4 linked regions of the Elephas maximus indicus genome follow. The protein of the gene in region 4 purifies or fractionates together with the protein of the main gene of each other region. This does not show direct contact. Links are inferred from orthologs where the notes say so. Each region holds a gene or a part of one and is shown on either strand. Other genes may lie near its edges.

Region 1 (7,445 bases), on a different chromosome or scaffold from region 4:
GGCATGATAATTAGAAGTAATGAAAGCAATTTCTTTAGTTACTCCACCTTTAAACTACACTTCACTGTGAGATTTATCCTTTTGAAATTGGTAACGATTACCCAATCCTGTTCATTGAAGCTTTAGAAAAACGCTCTCATTACTCTGGGGCAACTTCACACATGGAAAAAAAAGCAAACAGTGTGCATGTAAGAAAGGTTCCTAACAGAAGACATATCATTTTAAAATCACTTTATCCAAAAAGGCATTTAAAAGTAAAATTATGCATTTTATTCATTCATTCCATCAGCTGAGAATTGATCTATTGTACAAATACAGAAATGTACAAAAATCACAAAATGTTACAAAATAAAAAAGTACAAACTGCATTACTTAATAAATATGACCAAAATAGTTAATGTGGAAATGAGATAGATTTCAGGTTGGTAACATTGTTTGACCCAGCAAACCATATAAGCTCTGCTTACAAACATTTTTATATAATACAGGGCAATCCTATTTTGCCTTGAGAATATTAAGACAATATTCTCCTGCTATAAAATAACTGCCAAAGTTGGAGGCATTTATGCTATTAGTTTTTAAATACCTTGGGTGAATCCAAGTAGCTATACAAAGCAGGAGGCTTATCTTGTCACAAAGTTTTATACCATGTGAAAATCCTTCTATAACAAAATGACAAATACAAACTGAGAGCACCAGACAATCTACTTAAACATCAACCAGAGTACAGAAGAATCACTCTGCCATCTGCAAATCTCTGACTCTCATTCAAGTAAGTGCTGGTACTACCCCTAAAAAAAAAAAAAAAAAAATCTCCCCGCAACGTTCCCTTAAGTACTTCTTTAAAAGACTGACCATTTCTAGAAAAATAAAGATCCCAAAACGACAAATCTGTTTCCGTTTAAACAAAATGGAATGGGCCAATAATCTGATAACATGAACTCATCGATACCTATCTGAAATAATTATCTAAGAATTGTAAAATCCAAATTTCAACAACATAAAATAACTATTAAATCACAAACTCTGTTCAAAACGATAGACTTCATATAAAGCACTTCTCTGGAATTATGCCTGAAAGCTGTTTGTCAAAACGGAACACGTCACAGATGAAGGTACACCAATTTTTAAAAGTGTTGTGCAAAAATACATTTTTATAGAAAATAGACTGCCAGGAATGAACGAATTTACACTGTGAGAAATTAGCTTGCAAATCAAGTAGTGCTAACTTTATACAGCAAATTATAAATAGCAGTAGGATTACCCAAAGCTCTCATAAAACATCATTTAGGTGCCCAGCAATCTTCAGCTCTGGGGAGAAAACAGGAAAAAAAAAAAAAAAAACCAAGATTAAGGCATTACATCTACAGTACATCTACGAGGAAGTTTAAAAGTGCTATTACTCTGAGTTCGTGTAATTCTCCAAACACAAGCTACTTAGGCAATTTTCCCAGGGTGTTGGTTTTCAAACATTTCAAGAGCATGCATTTTGTTCAATATACATTTTGGATAGAGATATTGCCATGGATTTGGCAAGCTCTTCATCGCGTTTTCTTTGCACTTGAGTTTGTTTGCACCAATTGTCATACTCCGGGTTAGGGTATGAGTGATCAAATACCGCATCATAGTGTCCATTGCTGAGCCAACTGAGCCAAATACTAGGCCTTAGGGAATCCTCGGGGCCCAAATAGTGGATCATGGTAGACACGGTGGGGCTCTCCAACCTCCCTCCTGTCGTTAAATGTATATTCACATTCAGCATCTGTCCCATCGCCAGCAGTTCGGGGTACCCGGCCCACGCCCCGTCTTGGGCCGCGGCGATGAGAAACTCCCCCACGTCCCCCTCGATCAGGGGGCTGAAGTGGTCGAGATGATCAGCGATGTAGTGCACCGTCTGTTCCCTCAGCTCCCGGTGCAGGCTCTGGTTTCCGTACACCGTCTTGCTGACCGCTCGGTAGAGGCAATTGCCGTCGGGAATGATGTGAAATCGGTACTTATTCCTCTGTCGCAGGTACTTGTCCTGCTTCTCCACCTCCGCCAGGTACAGGGCCAGTTTCTCGTCTCTGGGATCCGACCTGGCGACGATTCCCGCCTCCGCCGCGCTTCTCTGGGCGCCCTCGCCGCCCCTCGTGGGGGGCGCCTCGGCCTCCGGGTCGGGCCGCCGCGCCTCGTCCGCGCCCGCAGAGTCGCCGCCCGTCTCCCAGCCCCGGGGGCTCCTCTCCGCCGGGTGCTCCTCGCTCCACAAGCCGGGGCCAGGCTCCGGGCTCCCCGGGGGCGGCCCGGGGCCTCGGTGCTTGGCGGCCGCCAGGGCCTGGCGGTGCTCGCTCAGTCGGAAGTTTCTGTCGGGCCCGTCCCGGGCCGCGTCCAGGCCGGCGGGCTCGGGGCCGTCGGGCCTCAGCAGCTCCTCCAGCAGCCAGGCGGAGGAGCCCCGGCGCGGCGGGACCGGGGCGCCGGGCGTCGGGGCCAGCAGGAGGCAGCGGCCGCGCGGGGCGGCGGCGGGCGCCGGGGCGCCGGGCTCGGGCCCGTGCAGAAGCAGCCTGTCGGCGCCGAGGGCCCGCACGGTGATCTGCGCCGTGGACGTGTAGTGCGGCGGCAGCGGCGGCTTGCAGGACCCGCCGGCCGGGCTGGCGGCGACGGCCGAGGCGGGGGCGGCGGCCCCGGACACCATCTCGAAGCAGGAGGAGAAGGCGGGCATCTTGGCGGCGGCGGCGGCGGCGGCGGCTTCCCTGGGCTCGGCGGCCGCGGCGGGCTGGCACTCACCGGTCTCGGGCTCTGGCGCGCTGCTGGCGGGTCCCGGCGGCTGCAAGGAGACCTTGAAGGGGGCGGCGGCGGCGGGCGCGGCGGCGGCTGCGGCCGTGGGACCCGGTGCCCCGGCTGGGTAGTGGGTGCAGACGCTGCTGTAGAGCTGCATCTCCCTACCCGCCGCTCAACCCTTATAGGCGCAGCGAGCCCCCGTGCGGGGACACACCCTCCGGGCCAGGGGGAGGGGGCCGGTCGCTGCCGGCCGAGAGCTATGACCCAGTGCCCCGAGAATAGCGATGAGCGAAGGGCCACCAGCAGCCTCCTGCAGAGCGTCAAGAACCGCAAATAGCGCCCGGGTCCCCGCCAAATTCCTGCTGCGCCACAGCGTGCGGTGGGGGCGGGGAGGCGACGCGCGCTCGACCCCTGCCGGCGCACTCGGCCCGCAGACCCGGGGCACCGTGCCCGCTCCCCTCGCTCCGGCCCGCGGCGGGCGCTGGGGACTGTCGGAGGAAGCCGCCCGCCCCGCTGGAGCGCGTCCCGCTGGCGAGAAGCAGTGCAGGGCGCGCGGAGGGGGCCGGGGGCGGAGCCGCGGCTTGTTTACCTCAGACCGCGCGGCCGGGTCACGTGGCCCCGCTGGAATGTGCGGCTCGTCGCTGCGCCCCATTCACTCGCTAGGGTTCGCCCCGCCCCCTCCGGCCCGCGCCCGCCTGCCGCTGGGCGTACGTCACGGGCGTGGCCGGCTGAGCTCGCCGCGCTCTGGCGGGCCGGGTGGCGGGCGCGCGCGCGGGGCCTCGGGCGGGGGAGCGCTAAGGCTTAATGGCCTGCTCGGCCGTGGGCTTCCTGGTCGGAGCCCGGGTGACTGCTGCGGAGCGCTTCGCCTGCCACAGCCACAGGTTTCCGCGCTGTACCGCTCTCGGCGGACTGGCGGGATAGGCGCTGTCTGGGGCAAGCTAGAGTGCTTTGAAAGCGTGCTTTTCGGAGAGGCTTCCGAACTCGGTGTGGAGGACAGAGCTGCCTTAAACGTGTTTGTCCCCTGCAGGTTCCTGGGCTATCACTCCTGCTTGCGTTCACCACTGTCGTCTTTTTGACCTAGTTTCTTGGGTAAAAACGCTAAAGCCTCGTGGTTCCCCCCGCCCGCCTAGGGTGTTTCTGCCCTGCAGAAACGAAACTAACTTTGCGGCTTGTCTAACTCCTACCAGTCAGCTGGCGCGTTCTTTGGTCGAAAGGAAGCCCTTAAAACAGCCTTTCTTTTAATCTTTTTAAAGTGTGCAGTCGCACTCATAGGTTATGGACGGGTAGAGTGAGTCGTGAATTGGATCCTGAAGAGGGAGTACCCGGAAAAAAAAACAGTAGGATATTGAAAACATTTTTACTGAACTATCTTAGTATTGCCCTCTTTGTAAAAGAATATTCATATTTTCAAAGCTTTGACCAAATGCTAAATAAAAAAAAAAAAAAAACCCGGTACCCTCCAGTGGATTCCGACTTCACAGCGGCCCTATAGGACAGAGTAGAACTGCCCCATGGAGTTTCCAAGGGCTGCCTGGTGAATTTGAACTGCCAGCCTTTTGGGTAGCAGCCAAAGCAGTTAACCACCATGCCACCAGGATTTCCAAATGTTAAATCAGCAGGGTCTAAAAAGTTCAAATTGGACCTGGAGATTATGTCACCATCAAAAAAAGAAAAAAAAGATCTCAGTGGAGCCCACACCAATTTCTGGCGACCTCATGTATGTCAGAGTGGACCTGTACTCCATAGGGCTTTCAATGGCTGATTTTTCATGTTCGGTAAAAGCTACTGAAAAATAATATCAACTCCCAACCCAGAAAACCTTTCCACAAAACTAGAAATAGACAAGTTTTATTGTTGAATAAGCATTACACCACAATGTGATCATCACAAGCAATCTGCTAAAGAGATTGCAAAGACGGAAAGGAATCTGGCCCTTTATATAGCTAAGCGGATGCAACTCATTGCATATATGTTTTCAAGATAACTTTGTTAATTTTCTAGTCTCTTCATGACAGGACAGAGATTTGCAGTTTGGGGCTGGGCCACCTGAGGTAATTTAATGTTAATCTCCTTCCAGGAAACAGGCTGCTAGGGAAGGATCACCTGCAGTTATAATTCAGAGAGGTAGCTGCCAGATCCTGGAGGAGGCAGGTTTACATACTTTTCAAAGAGACAAAGAAAGAATTTACGATTTATCTAAAGTAAATTCTGGGAGAATGAGGGAGGACGGGAACCTCTTCCCTTATATTCAACAAGAAGAATTAAAACCTCTTACTTCAATTTGTATTTTTCTTAAATGTTTTTTAAGTAGATCACCAGGCCTTTTTTTCCCAGGCTCCTCTGCGTGAGCTTGAACCTCCAACCGTTCAGTTAGCAGCTGACTTGTTAATTGATTGCACCACCCATGGACTCTGTCCCACCATTTTAGAGATGAAGAAGAAACTGAGCCTGTAGGTCATGGTATGGGTCCCTCTCCCCACGCCCTTCTGCTAGAATGTAAATTCCACGAGCAGAAATACCTTCTCTTGTCCACTATTACATTTTCATCCCTGAGCACAGTGCCTGGCACATAGTTGGAGTTCATTAATATTTACTGAATAAATGGGAACCTAGTTTCGCAAGACTTCTGTTAGTGGGGAAGCCAGAACTACAATCCAAGTCTACCACCCTACCAGGGCTTTCTATTTGCTATGGGAGGTAGGATTGGCAGGATCCCGGCAACAGCGGTTTGCTCAGGTCACTCCAACCTTGTAGGTAAATCAACTCAAGAGAAGGCAAAACAACTGTCCAACCACCTTTTCAAGTTTTGGTGACTAACCCCACTGGAAGCCCGTAGTCAGTCCCATCGCTAACTAGAAAAGGGAATTTACTTAGATTCCATCACGGGTTTGTTGATTATCTGTTGCTCTGTGCAGTTTTTTTTTTTTTTTTCTGTGCAGTAAGCTCTTCAAACTGAACTCCACCTGTAGCCATAGCCAATGTACTAAAACAGAAGACAATACTAATAACAATAAGATAATCCTCAAATACTATTTACTGAGTACTCATTGTGTACATAGCACAGCTTGCACAACAGGAGGCTTTAAATCCCTAAAGCAAGAATGTGTTTTAACAGGTTGGGATAAACACGGAAAAAAATAACACAACCTTTAGTATGGATTACGCCTCAACATAAAAAAAAAAAATCCTCACAACTCGACCAATAAGCAACATCAGAATAAACAGAGAAAAAATTGAAGTTTTCAAGGATTTCATTTTATTTGAATCCACAATCAACACCCATGGAAGCAGCGGTCAAAAATCAAATGACGTATTGCATTGGGCAAATCTGTTGCAAAAGACCTATTTCAAGTGTTAAAAAGTAAAGATGTCACTGTGAGAGGACTAAGGCACACCTGACCCAAGCCATGGTGTTTTCAGTTGCCTCACATGCATGTGAAAGCTAGGCAATGAATAAGGAAGACCAAAGAAGAATTGATGCCTTTGAATCATGGTGTTGGCAAAGAATATTGAATATAACGTGGACTGCCAGAAGAATGAACAAATCTGTCTTGGAAGAATGCTCCTTAGAAGCCAGGATGGCGAGGCTTTGTCTCAGCATAATTTGGACATGTTATCAGGAGGGACCATTCCCTGGAGAACAATATCAATGAAAGATAGGAAGACCCTCAATGAGATGGATTAACACAGTGGCTGCAATGATGGGCTCAAGCATAGCAACGATTGTTGAGTCAGAGCTGACTCGCCGGCACCTAACGACAAGGTACACAGAAGCCAAGCTAAGTATGATATGCTAAATTAGAAACAGCATTTAAACGAAGATGGGAAGATTCAAAACTCTAAAATACATAAAGGCTTCTTTTTTTTTTCCTTTTTAGTTAGTGTGGGGGGGGTAGGTTGTGCAACAATGCATATTCACTCTGGCAGTCAGTATTCACTCTATATCTAAATCAGGAAAGTTTCCAGAAGGAGGTGATACTTCAGGAAACCTTCAGAGTAGGAATCATTGCCAACCTTGGAAACAGGAGATTGTTTCGCACCTTTGGAAGCTAAGAGAAAGCAAGGTCTTGCAAGTGATAGTAAAGAGTGGAAAAGAAAGGGAGACGAATATGATTCCTAAACAATCTCCTCATTATTCCATCTGAAGAGAATTACTAATGATTCCATTCTGGAGAATCATTTGTCCAGCGTATTTTAGTACTGTGCAAAAATTTGGTGGAAGTTTATAGAATACTAAATGATAATTGCATAGTAAATGAATGTTGTTGTTTTTAGGTGCTATGGAGTTGATTCCAACTCATAGCGACCCTACGTACAACAGAACAAAACACTGCCCACTTCTGTGCCATCCTCGCAGTCGTTGCTATGTTTGGGCCCATTGTTGAAGCCACTGTGTCAGTCCATCTTGTTGAGGGTCTCCCTCTTTTGTGCTGACCCTGTATTTTATCAAGCACAATGTCCTTCTTCAGGGAACAGACCCTCCTGACAACATGTCCAAAGTATGTGAGACAAAGTCTCACCATTCTTGCTTCTAATGAGCATTCTGGCTGTACTTCTTCCAAGACAGATTTTTTTCATTTTGGCAGTCCACACTATATTCAATATTTTTTGCCAACACGATAATTCAAAGGCATTAATTCTTCTTAGGTCTTTCTTATTCATTGTCCAGCTTTCATATGCATATGTGGCGA
Region 2 (7,130 bases), on a different chromosome or scaffold from region 4:
TTGAACACTTTAAAGAGGTCTTTTGCAGCAGATTTGCCCAATGCAATGAGTCTTTTGATTTCTTGACTGCTGCTTCTGTGGGTGTTGATTATGGATCCAAGTAAAACGAAATCCTTGACAACTTTGTTGGTAGGAGTGCAAATTGGTACAACCTTTCTAGAGGCCAGTTTGGCAACATAGGTAAAAAAAAATTTAAATACTCTTTGACTCAGCAGTTTCACTTCTTGAAATTTATCTTAAGGAAGTATAATCAGACAAATATACAAAGATGCTTGCATATGCATGCTCACTGTAGTGTTGTTTATGATTGCAAAAAATTGGAAATATCTTAAACACGGACCAATAGAGAAATAGTTAAATAAATTATGGTACACTATATACTGGGGCTCCATGCAGCAATTAAAAAAGATTAGGTAGGCATATTTGTACTGGCAAGGAAAGATGTCCACGATTCATTGAAAGTGGAAAAACAGTTCAGATAAAAGTAGTTGTCAGGCGATATTATTTGAATATTAAAAAAAAACAAAGTATGTAGAAAAAAATCTAGTAAGGTATATAAGTAGATCTATCTATTTTTGGAAACCCTGGCGGCGGAGTGGTTAAGTGCTATGGCTGCCAACCAAAGGGTCAGCAGTTGGAATCCGCCAGGCGCTCCTTGGAAACTTTATGGGGCAGTTCTACTCTGTCCTATAGGGTCGCTATGAGTTGGAATCGACTCAACAGCACTGGGTTTTACTGGGTATCTATTTTTAAAAGGTTTATTGAGGTATAATTTACATATTATAAAATTCACCCATTGTAAATGTACAACTCACTGATTTTTAGTGAATTTATACAGTTATGCAACCATTATCACAATCCAGTTTTAGAACCTTCTTATCACCCCAAAAAGTTCCCTCATGCTTATAGGCTTAATTTTTTGGCTTTAACAAAGAGAAGTTTATTCTCTCACCGTCTTTTAGGCTAGGTGTCCAAATTCAGGGTGTCTGCTCCAGGGGAGGCTTTCTTTCTCTGTCGGCCCTGGAGGAAGGTCCTTGTCATCAATCTTCCTCTGGTCAAGAAGATTCTCAGCACAGGAACCTCTGGTCTAAAGGACGTTCTCTGCTGCTGTCATTGTCATAGGCTTAATTTTTAACAGTGGTTAGGTTAGGGGTGGAGTTGGTGGTGGGATGGAAGGAAAGGAGAATTATAGACAGTTTTCTAGTTTATTATTTCTGTATTGCTTGAATTATTTACAAGTGTATAAAAATCCCAAAAAACTCATTGCCATTGAGTTGATTCTGACTCATAGTGACCCTACAGGACAGAGTAGAACTGCCCCATAGGGTTTCCAAGGAGCGGCTGGTAGAGTTAAACCATCAGCCTTTTGGCTAGTAGCCTAATGCTTAACCACTGTGCAACCAGGGCTCAGCAACAAGTGTATACTACCTTTTAATTTGAGAAAACAGGAGAGTTCTCCATTTTGAAAAGAACCCAAAATCTACTTCTCATATTTATTCTAAGGAAATGATCAAGTATATGGAAAAGAATTTGTGTATAAATAAATATCAAAGACATTTATCAACGTTTTACATAAAACAAAAAAAATTGTTAAGTAATCTGCCTCATGATGGAACAGAAGAATTATTAATGATACTGGAATGTAAAAAGTTCTGGGTAAAAACTTTTATATGCAGTATGACCTCATCATGTAAAAAAAAAAATTAACGTATATCCCCCCCCCAAAAAAAAAAACTTGTTTGGAAATATAATGAAATCTTACTGACGGTTATCTTTGAACGGCAGAATTACAATATCTTTGTGCGTTTCTGCATTTTCCACAATGAGCGTGCATTTTCTTTATATTTAGTCTCATTTCCATAAATGTTATCAATTAAAAATAGAGAGGTTAATTATGGTATTGTTTTTACAGGTGTATACATTTGTCAAAATGTATAAAATTGTAGATTTTAAATATTTACAGCCTATTTTTTTATTATATATTAATTATGGAGCTCTGGTGGCTCAGCGGTTAAGAGCTCAGCTGCTAACCAAAAGGTCAGCAGTTGGAATCCACCAGCCATTCCTTGGAAACCCTATGGGGCAATACCACTTTGTCCTACAGGGTCACTATGAGTTGGAGTCCAATGGATGGCAACTGGTATTATATATTAATTACACCTGAATAAAGCTGTTAAAAAAATTGGAGATTGCTTAATCTTCATAACTCTTTTACTGGAAGAGGGATTTTATTTCTATTACACCATTTTCGGGCTGGAGTAGGGCATAAAGGTTGGGAAGGAGTTGATCGACATCCTCTAAATAGCAATACTACCTCTGCCCCAGATGCTTTCATTTTTTTTGGCTTCAACAAAGAGAAATGTATTGTCTCACAGTCCAGTAGGCTTCATGTCCAAATTCAGGGCGTCAGCTCCAGGGGAAGGCTTTCTCTGTCTGTTCTGGAGGAAGGTTCTTGTCATCAATCTTCCCCTGGACTAGGAAATTCTCTGCATAGGAACCCCGGGTCCAAAGGACGGGCTCTGCTCTCAGCACTGCTGTCTTGGTGGCCAGATACCTTCACTGATGGATTGATTGATTCATTCAAAGGACCTGCCTTCCTACTACACACCAGAAATGTTATCAGGTATTTGTATACCATGATGAACAAACCACTGCTCTCAGAAAAGTTCCAATCTGGTTGGAGGAGGGGGAAGGTAGGTCACCATCTGACAGATTCCAGACAACGCCCACATCACTGCCAAGCAGACCTTGACCCCTGTGCTGCCCTAAGGGACCAGAGCAGGTCAGAAAGCAAGGGCCTTAGTAAGTAGTTCAGGTGGTCAAGAATAAATGATACCATGATTATGGCCGTGAAAGTGGCCAGAAGGTAGGTTACTCTCAAAAGAGTATCAGGGTTATCACTTGAGAAACCCACTGCCCTAGAGTCGATTGGACTCATAGCGACTTCATAGGACAGAGTAGAACTGCCCATAGAGTTTCCAAAGAGCGCCTGGTGGATTCGAACTGCCTACCTCTTGGTTAACAGCAGTAGCACTTAACCACTATGCCACCAGGGCTTTCATCACTTGAGAAGTGAGCTTAAAGAATTTTTATGTATCTAAATCTATTTATCTTACTCACACATTTATAACGTTAAGAACTAAGGTTGATCGTTTCTGGTTTACTCAGCAAAGGGCTTACATCCATTGTCTCATTTACTCCCCACCACGACCCCTCAGGCAGGGACTCTGCTACTTTTTTTCACAAATGAGAAAACTGAGACTGAGAGGTTACCTGCCAGAGGTCACAGAGCTGGAAAGCTTAGGCTCTTCAACGCCTAAGCTCCAGCCACCACATACACTCCCCTTCATTGTACTCTGGGGCCCTTTCAGGGAGGAAAAAGTCCACTTCCGGACCCCAGCCAGACTGCTCAGTTTTCGCTCTTCAATCTCAAAATTTTCCAGATGCAGATTTAACAACTGCTGGCACAACCAACAGGGTCATGCCCACTGGTGCAACTCCACCAAAACCGCGGACTGACATGGATTTGTATCTTGATGGGTAAACTCCAGGCAGCGACCCCATCCGAGCCTCCAGCGCGGGGCCAAACGCGCGTGCGCGGGGCCAGAGGGGACGCCCCTGCGCGGGCGCGCGGTGAGCGGGGCGCGCGGCCCGGTGAGCGCGCGGCCGGGGCGAGCCTCGGCGGCGTCGGCGTCGGCAGCGCGCGCTCCGGGTCGCAGCAGTGTGGGCTGGGGAGGGAGCGAGGCAGCGGCGGCGGCGCCCCAGAGCCGAGGGGACGCGCCGGCCTCGCGCCGCAGGAGCAGACGGCCGCGGAGGAGACCCCGGGCTCGGGGCCCGAGGCGGGAGAGCTCGGCCTCTCGACCGCCCACCTCAGAGGTCGCCGTGCGCTTCCCTCGCCTGGAGCGGCCGCCGCCCCTGGAGACTCGCCGTGACACGGGCCTAAGCCGCGGCCGCCGCGGGCGTCCGGGCCGCTGGGACCCCTGCCCCCGTCGGGCCGGGCCGGGCCAGGCCGGGCCGGGGGGAACGCGCGGCCGCGCAGGTGCGGCCCCCCAGGGCGGCCCGGGCCGAGGCGCCCACCGCGCTGCTCGCGCGCGGCCGGGCTCGGCGGGAGGGGCCGCCCTCGCAGCCCCCCCCGCGAGCCGGAGCCCGAGCCCAGCCGCCGCCCCGCCTTCCCCGGCGGCGGCCCGACCCGAGCGGCGGGAGCCGGAGCCCCAGCGCCCGGCGGCTCGCGCGAGACCGGAGGGAGGAGAAACTTTGCCTTTTATTGTTGTGTGTAGTCCTGAAGTGCCAGGAACTCTGTGGGAAGAATGTCCTTCTTCAATTTCCGTAAGATCTTCAAGTTGGGGAGCGAGAGGAAGAAAAAGCAGTACGAGCATGTGAAGAGGGACCTGAACCCCGAGGACTTTTGGGAAATCATAGGCGAATTGGGCGACGGAGCCTTTGGGAAAGTGTACAAGGTAAGAAGGAGGGAACGGGAAGTTGCACTTGGTGGATGAAACGGCCACTGGTCCGCGGTGGCTCGGGAGCTGCTCGCTGTCCTTGTCCCTTTTCTGTGTCTTGCCCCTTCATTTGACTTTGTAAACGTGCACTGGAACTGTGTCTAGGGTGTTATCCAAGGAGTAGCCTAGACAGTGGAGGTTAAGGTTAAACAAGGTGGGGTCTGAATATTTTTCAAGAGTGGTTGCAAAAGGGAGGCCAGATTATACGGTCTACTTTGTCAAACTTTGAAGGAAGCGAGGGCGTTCTTCAATTAAAGAGAGGCATCTGCGTTGTGTCTCTTAAATAGTTTAACATCTGAGACTCATACTTTTCATTGGATTTTGTAATGTTCGTTTACTGTTTGAATTAATACGCGTGCTTATACTAAAATAGTTCCCTTTTTTAGGGTCCAGGCCATATATTTGGTCGTATCTATAGCTGATACGGAGCCGTGGTGGCTCAGTGGTTAAGAGCTCTCGTGCTAACCACCAGTTCGGCAGTTCAAATCCACCAGCCGCTGCCTGGAAACCCTGTGGGGTAGTTCTACTCTGTCCTGTACAGTCGCTGTGAGTCGGAATCGACTCGACGGCGACGGGTGTAGCTGATACTGCCTGGCTGTCTTCCGATGAGAGCAAAATTATTGCTACTGGCAGACTTTTTTTGAGTTGGTTGCTTGACAACATACTTTAATGGAATGGAATTTCGGATAGAAGATTTCCAGAAGAAAATCTGCAAGTGGTACGAGTTTCTAAACATAATAAGCTTTGACTGGGAGTCAATGCTGATGCCTAAGAAATGAAACACACACACACATACATACATTTCTACATATTTATTTTAATAAAAAGCTGTTTGGGGTTTCAACCTGTTACCTATTTACTGTCGTCTAAGAAGCATAGGAATGATGTCATAGAAATATTTTCACCCTGAAAGGGTGAGGTTTTTCATGAGACACAGTTTAGGGGAACGGGCCATAGGGGTTGCCTAGAAGGAAAACATAAATAACTTGTGCAGTTTTTCAAGCGCTCTCACCTAATGGGGCCTCACAAAAATCCTGTGAGGTGGGCAGGTCAGTAGCAGTGTCAACATCTCACAGAGGAGGAGGACACTGAGACTCAAACTGGTCAGTCACACCAGTCAGAGCCTGGATTTGAACTCAGGTCTTCTGACCCTGTAATTAGTACTTTTTTTTTTTTTTAATTTCATGTCCATGGGTAGAAATAATAGCATTTCCCCTGCTTTCTAAGCACTGTCACACTTCTTTTTGCCCCTGCCCTGCCTCAGATGCATCTTCTCCCACCCTGGTCCTTCTCATTCTTTAGAGCTGTACTTACCTATCATCTCCGATTCCTCCAGGCAGACATATCCAGTCCTATGTTCTTTCTAACACATCTTTCATGTAGCTAGTATAGCCCTTGTCCCATATTGTCGTTAGCGTGTTTATGTTTCTGTGGTAAGGCCAGGGGCCAACACAGTCATACACGTGTGGCCACATAGACTGCCTTAGCAGATGGTGCATCTCTGTGAATTTACTGAAATGAAATAATGCGTGTTTATTATTACATGTAAATGTTACTGAAGCCATTGTATGATGCAAAAGTTGGCAAAGTAAACTTTAGTGTTTGTGTGGCGGATAGAGTCATGTGTCTCAGCAAGCACTTACCATATAGCTGTATGGTAGGAATATTCTTTTAATGTAGTGGGAAGATCAGTCCTGGGAGCCAAGCCTTGTGTTTGAGTCCTGGCTGTCACAAACCAGCTTTGTGGTCTTGGACAAAACACTTCTTTGGATTAATTTTTCTTAGCTGTTAAAATCGTAGATTTCCATAAATGTTTGTTTAGTTTCCTTCATCCTTGAACATTCTATGAGTATGCAGTTAACTAAACCCATTGCCATGGAGTCGATTCCGACTCATAGCGACCCCGTAGGACAGAGCAGAACTGCCCCATAGGGTTTCCAAGGCTGCAATCTTAAAGGAAGCAGATTGCCACCTCTTTCTCCCATGGAGTGCCTGGTGGGCTCAATCTGCAGACCTTTCGGTTACAGCCGAGCGCTTTATCCATTGAGCCAGTAGGGCTCCCTTTTATGGACTAGAGACTAATATTTTATTGTACTTTAGATGAAATTTTATAGAGCAAACTAGCTTCTCATTAAACAGTACACATTTTGTTTTATGACATTGGTTAACAACCCCACGATGTGTCAACACTCTCCCTTCTCTACCCTGGGTTCCCTATTACCAGCTTTCCTGTCCCCTCCTGCCTTCTAGTCTTCGCCCCTGGGCCAGTGTGTCCCTTTAGTCTCGTTTTGTTTTATGGGCCTGTCTAATATCTGGATGATGGGTGTACCTCAGGAGTGACTTCATTACTGAGCTGAAAGGGTGTCTGGGGGGTCATACCTTCAGGGTTTCTTCAGTCTCTGTCAGGCCAGTAAGTCTGGTCTTTTTCTGTGAGTTAGAATTTTGTTCTACATTTTTCTCCAGCTCTCTCTGGGACCCTCTATTATAATCCCCATCAGAGCAGTCAGTGGCAGTAGCCAGGCACCATCTAGTTTTACTGGACTCAGTCTGGTGGTGGCTGTTGTAGTTGTGGTCCGTTAGTCCTTTGGACTAATCTTTCCCTTGAGTCTTTAGTTTTCTTAAGTCTCCCTT
Region 3 (7,629 bases), on a different chromosome or scaffold from region 4:
GCCCCCACATCCCTAGTTGCCCCCCCCCCAGGGACCCAGGCATCCTGGCCTCCCCCTGGTTTGTTCCTCTTTTGGAGACCGGAAGCAGAAAGAGCAGATGACTTAACTCTTTCTCAGCTGCTTTCCACCTTCTCCCAAGGAAGGTAGCACTCAATGGTGGCCACCCCCTGGAGAGACCTACGGAACTGGGGGTGGAGAAGGGAAACTAGCAAGCCCCCTATTCCTATAATGTGCCCCCGAACCCAATTCTTCAGGAAGAGAAACTTGACTTTATTCATAGATGAAAATGGGGCTCAGATGGGGGCTAGTGGAGAAGACAGAAGACCCCACATGCAGAATGGGGCTGCCATGGAGAAAACGGCTTACAGTGGAATGCTTACTTTTTGCTCCTATCCCCCAAAACCCTGGAAGCTCCTTCCTCAGAGGCCCAACTGCCCAGCCCTACTGGGGCCTCCACCCTCAACTCCTGGAGTTGGGGGGAAGGAGTGAGACCAAGATAAGGTGAAGGCCAAAGTGAGGAAGCCACAGAGAGGTGGAGAGGCTAGAACTGGACCACAGAGATGAGGGACAAAGGCAACAAATTAAAACCAAAGGGATAGAAAATGCAGAACACAGTGGAGGGGGAACCTGAGAGAAAACAAAGTGCGGTAAGGAGTAGGAATGGACCTCAAAGTGAGGTGGCAGGAAGAGAAAGGAGAGGCTACTGAGCAGATAGAGGATAATGGAGTGAGGACGGAAGGCAGTATGGAGGTGGAGGCAGGAGGCCCAGGATGGAAGTTAGGCCAAGACTGAGATGGATGAGCACTGCCCCCCAGGTGTCTCCTTCACCCTGGGACCTGCTCTTACCTGCCCTGTCTCCTCTGGAGCCACCAACTCCATCCTCAGCTGCAGGGCTCCATCATTCCTTCGGGACAGTGGAGGAGTCCCCGCTGCTGAATTCCTAGGCTCCACTTCCACCCTCAGGGAGGGCAGGGGGGTGGGGGCCCGGGATGTGCCCTCGCTATCCCGGGTCCCAGGCTCTGGGGGGCGCTGCTGGGGCGGGGAGGCCGACAGGGGGGATGTTTCCACCATTGCCTTGCCGGTTACCGCCATCTGGCCCAGCCCTCTGGTTAAGGAGCGGGCCTGAGGTCCGGGTGAGGTGGGGGGCGGGCGGAGCCAGGAGGTGGGGCCCTGAGACAGGCCTGGCTGTGGGGTGGGGGTGCCCAGGCCCAAGCTGGCCACCTCCAACCTGGAATCCAATGACCTGCCTCCAGTGCCCCCCGAGGCCCCTCGAATTCCCTCCAGTAGGCGGCCGAAGTTAGGGGGCTCCAGGTCTCTATCGTAAACATCCACACACGTCCACCGACCTCGGCGATAAGGCTCTCCCAGACCCTGGGGCAGCTTTACCACCCGGAAACGGGAAGCGGGGGCCCCAGGCGGTGGGGAGCCGTTCCGGGGGGTGCCCTTGCCCCCTGGCTCAGGGTTGGGCTCCCCGTTGGGCAGCCGGAGTGGGGGCCTGGTGGGGGCCGGTGGGGTAGGGGAGTCTGCACCCCCCGGGCTCCCTGGGCCCTCATAGTCCGTGGTGACGCTGGTGATTTGGAAACTACTCTTCTTCTTGCCCCCACTCATAGTCCCTGGGACTCAGGACTAGGCCGAGGTGGGCGGGGGCGGCTGGGGCTCCTCGCAGAGGCTCAGGCGCCCCTGGAACAGGGAGGCCACATGGCGGGGACATCAGAGCCCCTGGGGACATCTGGGTCCGACATGGCAGGAGGGTCTTGGGGAGCTGGGGGTGCCTGGTTGGTGAAGGGAGAACAGGGTAGGGAAGGGGGGGTGGAAAGGGCAGGTTTTTCCTGCTGCTGTCGCTATCGAACTCCACAGCTGAGTTTGCAAACTGGAAAGAGAGAGAGAGAGAGAGAGTGAGTGAGGGAGTGTATGTGCCTATATTGTGTGTGAGAGAGAGAAAGCAGTGGGCAGGCCACCTCTGGGGCTTCCTCTCTGGGGAGCATGATGTGGGGCGGGGGGGTGGGGAGGAAGGGGAAACCACCAGAGACCCAGAGACAAAGAGTCTGGCAGAGATGGCAGAGATCAGAGCGCGGAAGGCTGCGATCCCAGAGGGCGCACGGAGCAGGAAGAGGCAGACATGCCCCAAAGTTTGGCACTTCTTGCCTTGGATTACAATTCACAGGGCCCGAAAGTCCCTAAGGCAAGGGCTCCGTGGCCCAGGTGAACAGAGGTGAAGCAGCTCCTCGGCCTGGCCTCAAGACCCCATACCAGCTCCCACATCCAGGGGGCTGGGGCCGCCAAGCATGCCCTGCCCCCCACCCCTACCCCCGCCCCAGCGCCCCGCCCAGCCCAGAGTCCTACCTCTCAGGCCGAGCTGGGGGTCCTGGCTAAGGTGTCAGGCTGTCCTTCCCCTGGTGCCTCCGGCCCCCACAGCGCCGAGAGCAGGCGGCGATCACAGGCTGCCCAGTCCTCTTCGGGGGCCGCACCTCACCCCACAAGGCATCTCCGGGGAAAGTTTGCTCTCCAGAAAAGCAAGGAACCTCTAGGATGGAGCCTAGGCTCGGCCTCTGAAGCCCCAGGCGTCTCCCAACCAATTTGGGAGGGGGCGGCTCGCCCGCCGCTCTTCCAAATGGAAAGCCTCCCCCTGGGGCAGCTGGCGTCGGTGGTCTTGGCGAATGGCTGTCCCAAGTCTCCTCCCGCGTGGCAACGCTGGTTCTGTCTCTGCTCCTCAGCTCCTCTCGCTCTTGGTCTCTGTCTTTCCCCTTCTGGGCTGTTGACAACCCCCACACCAGGAAGTCCTGCCTCCTCGGGCCTGCTGACTGCTTCTCTCCTCCGCCTCCTTTCCCTCTTCCCCCTCCCTTCTTCCCTCCTTCCTGGGGCTCCCGGCCACTTGGCCGGGGGCCAGGCCTGCCACAGCCGCCACGGCTGTTGCAGTTGCTGCTGCTGATCTTGGGGCCCCAAACAGGCTCCCTTAACCCCACACCTGCTGGGCCCGAGCCCAGCTCTTCCTCGGAGGGAGGGGCTGTGGAGGGCGGAGAGAAAGGGGAGGAGTTTGCAGGGAGGCGAGGGATTCCCCTACTTGTAGGCAAGTGCGGGCATTGGCCTACAGACACACATAAGAGTCGGAAGGAATACACCAGGCACTGTATTGGGTGCCTGGTACCCCATAAAAAAAAAAAAAACTCATAAGTGCCTAGTAAAACTTATGATGCTGCTGTAGCTGTTACTAGTTGTAACTTTTTTGGTCTTCACAGTAACTGTATGAGGAAGGTACTATTAATCCCCGCCCCCCCTTGTTTTAAAAAGTATATTAAGGAAAATTGCAAACATGTACAAAAGTAGAGAACAGTATAATGAGCTCCCATCATTCTAGTTTAAGCAATTATCAACTCACAGCTAATTTTGTTTCGTGTCTACCCACCAATATCTTTTGTTGTATTTGGCTCGAGTATCTAAAATCAAATGCCAGACATCATATATCGCCCTTCTTAGATGTGGAAATTAAGACCCAGGAGGTTCAAAAAGGCTGTCAGTGGTAGAGCAGGGACACCACATACTCAGGTGTGTCCTCGGCTAGCCCCCAAATATAAAAACATGCACAGACACACAGATGCAGGTGCTGACTTGCACTTTCTCTCCAATTGCTGGACACACGTGTTTATACACACAGTCACCCACACAGATGCATCCCTGGCTGGTCAGAAGCATAGACTCCCTCCCCTACCGCTAATCCTTCCTACCTCTCTGAGGTGTAAAGAATGGCTTTTATATGGCCTTTCTAAGGGCACGGTTTTGTAAATCCCACAGAACGATTGGCTAGAACTATGCAAACTCAATGATTTATGGTCTACTGAGGTGATTGGCAGCTTGTGGTCCTGATGGGAGGGTCATTTGTTGAAATTGACATAGGCTCATATAAAGAGAGCCCTGGCAGCTGTTGGCTACTAACTGATAGGTCAGAGGTTTGAAGCCACCAGCTACTCCATGGGAGAAAAATGTGGTAGTCTGCTTCTGTGAAGGTTTACAGCCTTGGAAACACTATGGGGCAGTTCTTCTCTGTCCTGTAGGGTTGCTATGATTTGGAATCCACTGGATGGCAGTGGATTTGGTTTCTGGTTTAGGCTTATATAAGGGTCAATCCCACAGAGGTTCAAGAAGAATCTGGAGCACAGTACATCCTTTGAACCAAGGACCCAGGGTCCTTGCACCAAGAACCTCCTAGACCCAGAAGAAAGAACTGTAACACTGAAGACAGTGAGAGACAGGCAGTAGGCTTGCTGGCCCACTGAGCAATAGCTGAGCACCTTTGAGCAGGACGCCTGTCCGGGGAGCCAGAAGAACTGTAAAGCTTACTTGTGCAGGGCAAGAGAGGCCTGAGTATGCCCTGTACAAGGGCTACACACACTTCCCACCCCCCTTGAGCAGTGTGGCAGGAGCCACACAGGCCCTCAGACAGTGCAAGCCTGGGTGGTATGGTGAGAGCCAGTGGCAGAGACTTAGAAGGGCCCAATGGCCATCTGGGGTCTTAAACGCTAGCAAGCAGCCATCTAAGAAGCATCAATTGGTCTCAAGCCACCTGGATCAAAGGAGAATGAAGAACATCAAGGACACAGGTAATTGCGAGCCCAAGAGACAGAAAGCGCCACATGAACCAGAGACTACATCATCCTGAGACCAGAAGAACTAGATGGTGCCTGGCTACAACTGATGACTGCCCTGACAGGGAACACAACAGAGTACCCCTGAGGGAGCAGGAAAGCAGTGGGATGCTGACCCCAATTCTCATAAAAAGACCAGACTTAATGGTATGAGACTGGAAGGACCCCAGTGGTCATGGCCCCCAGAGCTTCTGTTGGCCCAGGACAGGAACCATTCCTGAAGCCAACTCTTCAGACGTGGATTGGACTGGACAATGGGTTGGAGAGGGATGCTGGTGAGGAGTGAGCTTCTTGGATCAGGTGGACACTTGAGACTATGTTGGCATCTCCTGCCTGGAGGGGAGATGAGAGGGTGGAGGGGGTTAGAAGCTGGCGAAATAGACATGAAAAGAGAGAGTGGAGGGAGAGAGCAGGCTGTCTCATTAAAAAAAAAAAAAAATTTTTTTTTTTTTTTTTGTCTCATGAGGGGGAGAGTAATTGGGAGTATGTAGCAAGGTGCATGTAAGTTTTTATGTGAGACTGACTTGATTTGTAAACTTTCACTTAAAGCACAATAAAAATCATTAAAAAAAAGAAGAAGAAGAAGGGCCCAGTGGCAGAGGCTTGGGAGATCCTGTGCAGGGGTCTTCCCACCAGAGAGGTAAGGCCCAGCAGCAGAGCAGAAGCCTCCGGCAGGGCAGTGTGGTGGTGGATGTAAAAACAGCGTCTGACTTGAACCACAGAGCGCCTGCCCAGCGACATAAGAATAAAAAAATGGATATGGGTAATTTGGGGAAGGGCAAGCATTTCCCCTTGGAGATTCTGTTGTTTTCGTTTGCATTCTGGAAACAATGGAGCCCTGATGGTGCAATGGTTAAGAGCTCAGTTGCCAACCAAAAGGATAGCAGTTGGAAACCCTCTGGGGCAGTTTTACTCTGTCCTATAGGGTTGCTATGAGTTGGAATCAATTCCACAGCAATGGATTTAAATGTCTTGTGGGTCTGGCTTGATCACAGATAAACACAGCACCCAAAGAATGGTTGATGCCAGTGGTTCTATGTGTCTCATTCCTAGCAGTCTTACAGCTGCCTGGAATTTTGAGGCACAACCTGTCTGCATGTGCAATGCAAATAGACAATGTATACACTCTCCTACCCCATCCATTAGTATTATGAAGGAGAATCCATACACACTTACTAAGGACCTACTATGTGCTTGGCATGAAGAAATAAACCTCCAACTGTCATCTTCTCTGTTTTTTTTTTTTTTTTAAACCACCCCCAACTAACATTCTGAAAGGGATTATTTTAACAAAAGCAGTTTCTAACGGCTAGGTCTACCTTCACTCCCAGGTTCAAAAGAAAATGGATTCTAATTCATTTCCATCAAAGGGAACTGGTCTCAAGTACATTAAAAATTCCTCACATTTGTCTACTTTGCATAAGTATCTCACTGGATTTTCAAAACAGCCCTGGGAGGAAAAAGGGTGGCTTTTGAGCTCCAGTGTTTCTGCTAAGGAAACTGAGGCTCAGAAACACTGGGTCATTTGCCCAAGGTCCCGGAGCTAGTATTTTATAACTAAGACTAGCACTGGGCTTTCTGACTCCCAGTTCAGGGCTCTTCCCACCATCCCTCTCTTTCCCACATCCCTCCTCCCTCGGCTTCATCTCATGGAAATTTCTAACCACTCTTTCAAACCAAAGAACCCACTGCCAAGCTTGGAGTTGATTCTGACTCATAGTGACCCCATAGGGTTTCCAAGCTGTAAATCTCTGTGGAAAGCACACTGCCACATCTTTCTCCCACCGAGCACCTGGTGGTTTCGAACCATCGACCTTTTTGGTTAGCAGTCAATTACTTTAACTACTGTGCCACCAGGGCTCCTTAACCACTCTTTAGGGTTGAGCAAAAAATAAAATACCACCCTCCTTTATATATTTATTCTTTGTTGATTAAAATGCATCTGGACCCCTGCCTCTCTTCCTTTAGCCATGATAACAACGCCTACAATCCTAAGCCTGGTCATGAGGCCTCCCAAGTGTGAAGTCCTGGAAGCAGCCTTCCATATGCCCCCCCCCCCAAGTCCCCACCTCTCCCCGATCTGGCAACACTCAAAACACAACCCTGCCTGCTCTGCCCTCGGCCCTCCTTTCTTCATCACTGACACTCCACGAATTATTTAAAACTTATTATTATTTTTTTAATCTTTGGACTCTCTGGCTCTGGGCATCAACCCTTTCCCACCCCTCAGGCAGTCAGTTTCTTGGACTCCACTCCATTTCTACAGACCCTAGGACACAGTAGGTCTCTGCTGAGAAGTTTGTTGAATAAATAAATATAAATTCATTCACACTAAAGTGTAAATGGGAAACGACTAATAACACTTTAATGTGTTACCTCTCCTGGGGGCATTTATAATAGCCCCTAAAGTGTGAAGCCCTTTTGTGTGAAGCCCTTTTGCAGCTATTATTCTAATGACCACCCTCTCATCTCAAATTCTATTAACTTAGGCAGCAGATAAGACACCTCAGAAAGGTTGCTCGATTTGCCCAAGGTCACATAGCCAGTTAATGCAAAAACCCGTCTTCTTGCAGTTAATTTACCCTAAGAGCCCTGCGCCAAAGGGCTTTCCGAGGAAGCAATTTCTCAGGGAGCTGACGAGAAAGGTGACTGAAAGGGAGGGGGCCGAAGTCGCGATCCTCAGTGGCCGCCGCCACCGCACCTGGGCCATGGCCGCGGTGGTCGAAGTCAGGATTCGGACCCTGGTGCGCTCAGGTCCTGGCGGAGGGCGCCGGCAGAGTCAAAGGTTATGGGGTGGATGACTTGGATTGCATGGGAGGACGGGTGGAAGACTTTGAGCCTAGGCGAAGAAACAAGGTCCCGGCGCCTGGGAGGCTGCAGCGGGAGGAGACCCAGCCCAAGCGAGCCAGCTCCCGCGCCCTCCCCCCGCACCTGGGAGGCGGAGGGGAAAAGGCGGCGCGGCCAAGGGAGCAGGCACCCTGCTGGGCAG
Region 4 (7,264 bases):
ACCTTCCTCCACGCTCACCTCCCCGAAATGCATGTAGATGTACTCGCGGGCGCGCTGGTGCAGCTCAGCACAGCCGATCTGCTCAGCGAAGTTGGCAATGCCGATGGCGTTGCTGGGGTCCAGCTGCTGCACCAGGAAGTCACTGCAGGCACGGACGACGCTGTCAATCTGGTACATGACAGCGCCGTTCATGACGTGGAGCACACATTTCTCGCCCATGGAGATGGAAGCCGTGTAGGCGAACTCAATGAGGCGCTCCATGACCTTGGGGTGGATGCCCTCGATGGATACCACCTCCATGCCCTGCTCCCGCAGCCCGTTGGTGAACATGGCCTTAAAGACAGGGCTGGATGAGGCCAGCACCACCTTGTGGGCCATGAACTGGGCAGCTGGCGCATCCTCATACTTGACCTGCAGGGTGACGTCACAGAGCTGCTGGCTGAGCCGCAGCTCGTTCATGATCCCGAAGGCCTGTTTGGTGTGGTCCTCCAGTGTGTAGCTGAAGGTGCGGTTGCCATGCTGGGAGGGCGTCACCTCGGCCTTACACTCGGTAGAGGCATACATCACTGCGTCCCCTGCCCCCTCGGGGCACTGCGACTGCAGGGGCAGGAATCGGCTGTGGGCCCCAGCCCTGCTAGGCTTGGGTTCCAGCTGCATGAGGCTCCTGGCGATGAGGGACAACACCACCACTGGCACTCAGGGCCCTGGAGGAGGAGAGCACAGGGCTGGGGGCAGGGCCTGGGGCTGGGCCAGCACCGGCCAGGCCTCCTTTTGTAAGATAAAGCCATTCTCAGATCAGCTTTCCTTCCCGAGGGAACCAGATAGAGCAGCATTCATTCCAGCTTCCTAATTGTCCCCAGCCTTACCAGCCCAAGGGCCCATCTTAAAACCTAGGTCAGGCCATGTCCCTCCCCTGCTCAGAATCCTCTGACAACTCCCCAAGACACTAAGAATGAAACCGAACTCCTCAGAGGCCCGGTCAGCCCCTGCAGCCTCTTCCCTTTGCTCTCTCTGTCCCAGCCATCTGGAGCATGCCCTTCCTACAGCACGCCAAGATCATTCCTTTATTCACCTCACAAACACTTATTGAGTGCCTACTGTGTGCCAGGTACTGTTCTAGGCACTGGGGACACAGCAGTGGGCAAGACAGACAAAACCCCCTGCCCTCTGTGGAGCTGACATTAGGGGAGGAAAGGACCATAAATAAAATCAGTAAGGCTGGAGCGGAAACCTGGAGAATCCAGGAGGAGGAGTAAAGCTGCTGAGAGTATGGTGGGAGACAAGGAGCTGGGCTTGCATAAAGCCCAAGGTCGCAGAGGGCCAGGTCTGCGATGTGTTTTGAAAGGTTTCCACACTAGCTGGCCTGGAGGGTGGGGGGTGAATCTGCAAGGGGCGGCTAGGTTCTCCTCCTCATTGAAATGCAGTCACCACCTCCCTCATGCATTTTCATCACAGCACTTGTCAGGAACTGAAAGGATCTCCATGGCTTGTTGTTGAGGAATTGGCCATCCTTCTCACACACAGCCTCAGCGCTCCGGCAGGCCGGGGGGGCCCCTGTCTAGATCACTGCTGTGCCTTCCCCCGCCGTGCCACCCCCACGTCCTGCCCCGGGCCTGACACTGCGCAGGGCTCAGTAAACACGGGGCCGTCTGGCTGCCTGCCCACCCCACTGCGCCCTCTTCCACCCGGACCCAGGGCGCAGCTTGGCTCCCTCTCCCGTACCGACTGCCTCTCCACCTTCGGCCAATCGATCACTGGTGCCCCCTGGCCACCGGGCACTCCCCCAACGAAGCGCCCAGTGCGGACTGCGCATGCCCCGCATGGGCCGCCACCAAGACTTGGAGAAGGCAGGAAGTGACCCCGCCGCGGCCTCTCGCCTGCCAGCCCCAGAGGATGGAACGGGTCCCCCCAACGCCTCGGGGTCCCCGCGCCTCCGTGCGATCGGCGCTCCCTGAGCCTCCCGCCCTGTTTTCTTTCCTCTCGGGCCAACCCAAGGGTCGTGCAGTCCAACAAAAGGATCGGACCCCGGACCCGTCTCCTGGCCGTTCCAGGCCGCGGGGAACCCCGAGGCGCCCTGGCCTGCGACGCCCCGCTCCCCGCTCCTCAGGCACGGTCGCTCGGGCGCTCGCGGCCCGCGGTGCCCGCAGCCCGGGCACAGGTCGCCTCACTCACCCCGCCATGGCCGCGCTCGGGCTCCGCCTCCGCCGCCGGGGCCCCGGCGCCTCCATCGCCGCGCGGCGGGGGGAGGCGCGGAGCGCGCAGGTCACCATGACTAAGCAGAGCCGGGGCCCGCCGTGTCAGAATAAAAGTCCCCGCGGCCCGGGCCTCTGGCGGCGCCGCGGGAACGCGAGAGCGGCCACCTCCCGCCCCCGCCCGCGGTCGCCAAGCTGCACCGCCCCTGTGAGGCCACCACAGAGACGGCCATTACCGTGCGCGCGGCCGGGGACCGGTCCTCTGCGGGGGCCCCCACCCGCGCGGCCGGAGCCGCGAGGATTACACCCGGTAGTTCGAGGCCCGGCGTTCCCCAACCCGCACCGGGGACCCGGTGGCCACCGCTCCCCGCCGCTGCCGCCGCGCTCATCTCGGCCTCCTCGTCGCCTCCGTAGCTCTCGCTGACGGTGGGGATGCCTGAGTCACCGCGGCGGCTCGGGGCACGGCGGTGCCACCCGCGCGCGCGCGGCCCTTCCGGGAAGCCTGAAGGGCAGCGGCCGGGCCGCGGCGGCTCCTACCTGACCTCCGCCGTCGGGGATCCGCTGGCGCCTCCGCCGTCGCAGGGCCTCCGATCCGGGGCGGCGCAGCCTGCGGGGTCGCCGCCGTCGCGTGGGGGGCAGCCTCGGGACGCCCGGGAAGGAGGCGGGGAGAGGGTGGGGAGGGCGCGGTGGGGAAGGAGCCGCGATTCCCCGCCCTTCCCTCAGGTGCGGGGCGCCCATCCGAGGCCAGCGGGGCTCCGGGCCCGCCGGGACCATTCCCCCTGAGCGCTGTTGCTCCATCCTGAGTTCGTGGCCAGAGCGTCCCAGCGCAGGGTTGCTGTCCGCGACCTGCTCCTCTCCCTGTAACTGCACACGGCACAGGCCTCGCATTCTGGCGCACGCAGGATCCCGCCAGAATTACCTGCATAGTTGGGATTTTGTTGTCTTTATTTATTACCTCTGATTAAGAGACGCGTGAAGCTCACCTGCCGGAGTTCGAACCCCGGCTCTGCCTCCCGCAGCTCTTAGTTTCCTGCCTGTAAAATGGTAAAATAATAGGACCTTTTACCGGCTAGGTTGTTGTAAGGACTAAATGCGAAGGCGAGCGCCCAATAGATATGAACAATTATTTTTCATGACAAGGGATACTGATTTGCCACTATCACGGATTGAATTGTGTCCTCCAAAAATATGTGTTGCAAAGCTTAACCTCTTATGCTAGCGGTTATAACCCATTTGGGAATGGGTTGTCTTTGTTATGTTAATGAGCAGGATTAGTGTAGAGTGTGTCTTGAGTCAGTCTCTTTTGAGATATTAAACAACCAAGCAGAAAAGGAAAGAGAGATGCCAAGCTACATGAAGATCACCCAGGAAGCTCAGAAAAGACGAAGACCTTCTTCCAGAGCCTACACAGAGAGAAAGCCTTCCCCTAGAGCCAAAGCAAACCAAACCCAGTGCCGTCGAGTAGATTCAGACTTACAGTGACCCTATAGGACAGGGTAGAGCTGCCCCATAGAGTTTCCTAGGAGCGACTGGAGGATTCGAACTGCCAACCCTTTGGTTAGCACTGTAGCACTTAACCACTAGGCCACCAGGGTTTCCAAGAGCCGGCACCCTGAATTTGGACTCCTAGCCTCCTAAACTGTGAGAAAATTAATTTCTGTTTGTTAAAGACACCCACTGTGCTATTTCTGTTATAGCAGCACTAGATAATTGAAACAGCCATTTGCACCGTTTATGATACAAAGTTAACTTTTAAATAAATGTGTTTAAGTTTAGTTTAAAAGGAGTCCATCTAAATGAAAACTAAGTAATAGAAGGGGATGAAGTTTGGGGAGACGCTGAAATGAAGAGCTGTTGGTCTACGAAAGGATTCCGTAAGCCACCAGGATCTGAAATTAAACTGGTGCCCGAAATTGGTGTGGGGTTTCCCCCCCAACCCCTTTGCGTGAAACTACAGTCCCTATCCTCTCCGGGGCGGCGGGGGTGGGGAGCGCTGTTTCATAGTCGGCGAATACGCTGAGTGCCCAGGCTGTGGGGAAACACGCACCCTCCTCGCACGTGCCCCAAGGCAACCTTGCCTATCTATAAATCAAACCTTCACGCCCTGTGACCCAGCAGTGCCATTCGTAGGGATTTATCCAAGATACACTGATACGCGTGCAGGAGGATTTATGTCCAGGGAGGTTTATTGCAGCCCTGTGTATAGTGTGGATTGGACTCAACCCAAATGTCACTCCATGGGGACGTGGCTTAATAAGTGATGGGCACAGCTTTTCTTTTACAGCCATGCTGTGAAATACTATGCAATCGGTTAAAAGGAGCAAGACATTTAGACATTTACTCTATGAATGTTTAACTGAAAAAAAAAAAAGATATAAGAACAAAGCAGAATAAAATGTGCATACGTGCAACAATCTCCAAGACCTATTATTACATGATCAAAACTCCTTTCAGCTTATTTATTCACAGACAGCTCTGGAAGTTTCCCAAGATCGAATCCAGGAAAGGGAAATGGGTGTTTTTTTTGTTTGTTTTTCAATTTTGTGAGATGTAAACAATTCAATAAGTCCCCTACCATCTCGCCATCGAACAATGGGGTGAAATGTCTGGGAAGGCCCCAGACTCCCTTGGAAGTTTAGAAGAGCGTCCGGACTAGGGGCACTAGGGCAAGGGTGGAATTGGGTCCAATCCCAGAAGCGTCCTGGGACTGTGACCCCCAAGCTTGTGTATGTATATTTCAAGAAACAGGTTGGTTTCTCAGGCGTGTAACCTTCAGGGGCGGCCCAGGTATGGCCCGCGGAGACGGTCCCCAGGACAGGCCCCCGGCCCTGCAAAAACACCGCCGTCTGGCTGCCTGCAGTTCCGAGACCTCCCACCAGGTGGCACACCACAGTGAAAACCCGACGCCCCCCACCCCTCCCCCGGCCGCCGACAACTCAGGGGTCAGGAATGCTCCTCGGGACGTGCCGGGGCTGTGGCCAGCGTGCCTGGAGCCTTTTATGGGCACAAAGGGGCCTGGTAGCACCCCTGGCTGAGAATGCAGACCCCTGGGGTTTGGGAGTGTCGGTTGGAATCGTCGGGAGGAGCCAGACGCTAGACCTGAGGCCCCCTGGGCCTGGGAGCCTGACTGCCTGGGCTGGAATCCCGGCTGAAAACACTGCAGCAAGGTGCTCACTGCTTGGAGCCTCAGTTTCCTCATCTGTCAAATGGAGGTGACAAAATCTACCTTGCAAAGTTGCTGTAAGGGTGAGAAAAAAACCAAATGTGTGTCCTCAGCCTAGGATTTGTTAAGGCGACTAAACCAAAAAGCCCAGTGCCGTCAATAAACTGTAAATGTTATTAACTTTAAATTTATTATTATTTTTTTTATAATGAGGGATCGACACTGCACTCAAGAAAATTTTGTGCTCAGACAGGATTTGGCTGAATCTCTCAAATTTTGGGGTGCCCTGTCCCTGGCTTCCTTGCCTCTAAAGTGGGGAGTCATCCTTGATTTCTTTCTTTCCTTCACCCCATACCCAATTCCTTGGTAATTTTGTTCACTGCCTCCAAAATCTGTACGGTAACCGCTTGGTCTGAGCCTGGTTGGTGTTCCTATCATGGCTTTCCTGGGCCAGCACCATCACCTCATTCCCCACAGCCTGTCTCCACAGTGGCCAGAGGGAGCCTGTGAACACCCGAGCGAGGTCACCTGGCTCCTCTGTTCAGAACCCTCCATGGTTGCCATCTCATTTAGAGCAAAACCAAAGTCCTCCCCTTCCCCCACAAGACCCTACACAATCTGTTCCCTTGCCTCCTCCTGCACTCCCCCACCAACTCTCTGTCAGACACACCAGGATCCTTGCTTTTCATTGAACACAACAGCCTCAGGGCCTTTGCACCTGCAATTCCTTCCTCCTGAAGTGCCCTTTGTTCAGGTGACCACCATCACTGACACCATGATTGTATTATTACTGGAATTATCGCGTTTATTTCTTCCTGGACCAGAGTTTCAGTACCACAAAGGCAAGATGTAGTCTGTTTTGTTCACTGCTGTGTCCCTAGTGACTAATATAGAGCTTGGCACACAGTAGGCACTCAATAAATAGGGTTTGACTTCAATTAATATATCTGCCCTGTGTCTTTGGCTGCGTTTCCTACAGGTTCCTTTATTTAAAGCAAAAAAGTCTGCAAAATAGCTCTTAGGGAAGGCAATGGCGGGCCTGAGGCATCAGTCTGCAGTGGGCATGGGCACCAGGGTCTGGGCACCCATGGGTGCGCCGGGGCTGCCAATGGAGCCGCTGGTGTCCAGCCCATCCCGTCGGGGCGACGAGCGCTCAGAGTGGCTGGAGCTGCCATCAGTGCAGGGAGGCAGCCATTGGCGCAGGCCGCCGGAAGCCCCAGCCTCGCTCCCGGGCCGCCTGGAATCACCCTGGCCTAGGCCACAGGGGCGACGGCCGCAACAGACGAGACGCAGGAGCGCGTGGCGCAGGTCGCTGTTGGTGAACGTGTAGATAATGGGATTCAGAAGCGAATTGGCCATGGCCAGGCCCAGGAAGGGGTCAGCCTGCAGGAGCACTGGGCAGGCGCGCGCCGGGCATGCCACGTCGAGCAGCAACAGTAGGAAGAGGGGACCCCAGCACGCCACGAAGGCCAGGAGCACCACGCTGAGCGTGCGCAGCAGCGCCAGCGTGCGCGGCGTGCGACGCGCCCGGTCCGAGGCGCCCCCGCTAGCCCCGGGTCGCGCCCGCAGGCGCCGCGAGTTAGCGCGCACCTGGCAGTAGATGCGCGCATAGAGCACACAGATGGCGGCCAGGATGCTGACGAACGCGACCACGCAGAAGAGCACGTAGGCCTTGGCGTAGAGGGGCAGCACTGTGGAGCAGGAGTCTAGGCGGCCCAGGCAGTTCCAACCGAGCCCCGGCAACAGCCCGATGAGCAGCGACGCGCCCCAGGCGGCGGCCGCCAGCGCCAACGTGCGCCCCCGCCGGGCGGCGGGCGCGGGTCCCCGGTGCGCCATGGTGAAGCGGCGCTCGAGCGCGATGGCCAGGAGACTCAGCACGGACGCAGCGAGCGCCACGAAGACGCCGCCT

The links.
Region 1: the proteins of KEAP1 (region 4) and OTUD1 purify together in Homo sapiens (affinity purification with western blotting; 3 studies listed by BioGRID, with this or other methods). This does not show direct contact. The link is inferred for Elephas maximus indicus from reciprocal best matches to the Homo sapiens genes KEAP1 and OTUD1.
Region 2: the proteins of KEAP1 (region 4) and SLK purify together in Homo sapiens (affinity purification with western blotting; 3 studies listed by BioGRID and IntAct, with this or other methods). This does not show direct contact. The link is inferred for Elephas maximus indicus from reciprocal best matches to the Homo sapiens genes KEAP1 and SLK.
Region 3: the proteins of KEAP1 (region 4) and TSC22D4 purify together in Homo sapiens (affinity purification with mass spectrometry; 4 studies listed by BioGRID and IntAct, counting the BioPlex papers as one, with this or other methods). This does not show direct contact. The link is inferred for Elephas maximus indicus from reciprocal best matches to the Homo sapiens genes KEAP1 and TSC22D4.

What each region holds. Positions count from the first base shown.
Region 1 is NC_064822.1:32,368,402-32,375,846, forward strand, and holds OTUD1 (OTU domain-containing protein 1), read right to left. Parts: upstream 3,009-7,445; 5' UTR 2,912-3,008; coding exon 1,475-2,911; 3' UTR 271-1,474; downstream 1-270. UniProt on the Homo sapiens protein: Deubiquitinating enzyme that specifically hydrolyzes 'Lys-63'-linked polyubiquitin to monoubiquitin.
Region 2 is NC_064834.1:55,422,039-55,429,168, forward strand, and holds the start of SLK (STE20-like serine/threonine-protein kinase), read left to right. Parts: upstream 1-4,122; 5' UTR 4,123-4,307; coding exon 4,308-4,457; intron 4,458-7,130. UniProt on the Homo sapiens protein: Mediates apoptosis and actin stress fiber dissolution.
Region 3 is NC_064830.1:91,887,606-91,895,234, forward strand, and holds the start of TSC22D4 (TSC22 domain family protein 4), read right to left. Parts: upstream 3,012-7,629; 5' UTR 2,344-3,011; intron 1,871-2,343; 5' UTR 1,609-1,870; coding exon 847-1,608; intron 1-846.
Region 4 is NC_064821.1:28,571,504-28,578,767, forward strand, and holds the start of KEAP1 (kelch-like ECH-associated protein 1), read right to left. Parts: upstream 3,006-7,264; 5' UTR 2,730-3,005; intron 2,263-2,729; exon of another isoform or gene 2,173-2,262; intron 1,787-2,172; exon of another isoform or gene 1,723-1,786; intron 705-1,722; 5' UTR 658-704; coding exon 19-657; intron 1-18. Other genes in the region: S1PR5 (sphingosine 1-phosphate receptor 5), read right to left, coding at 6,403-7,264. UniProt on the Homo sapiens protein: Substrate-specific adapter of a BCR (BTB-CUL3-RBX1) E3 ubiquitin ligase complex that regulates the response to oxidative stress by targeting NFE2L2/NRF2 for ubiquitination.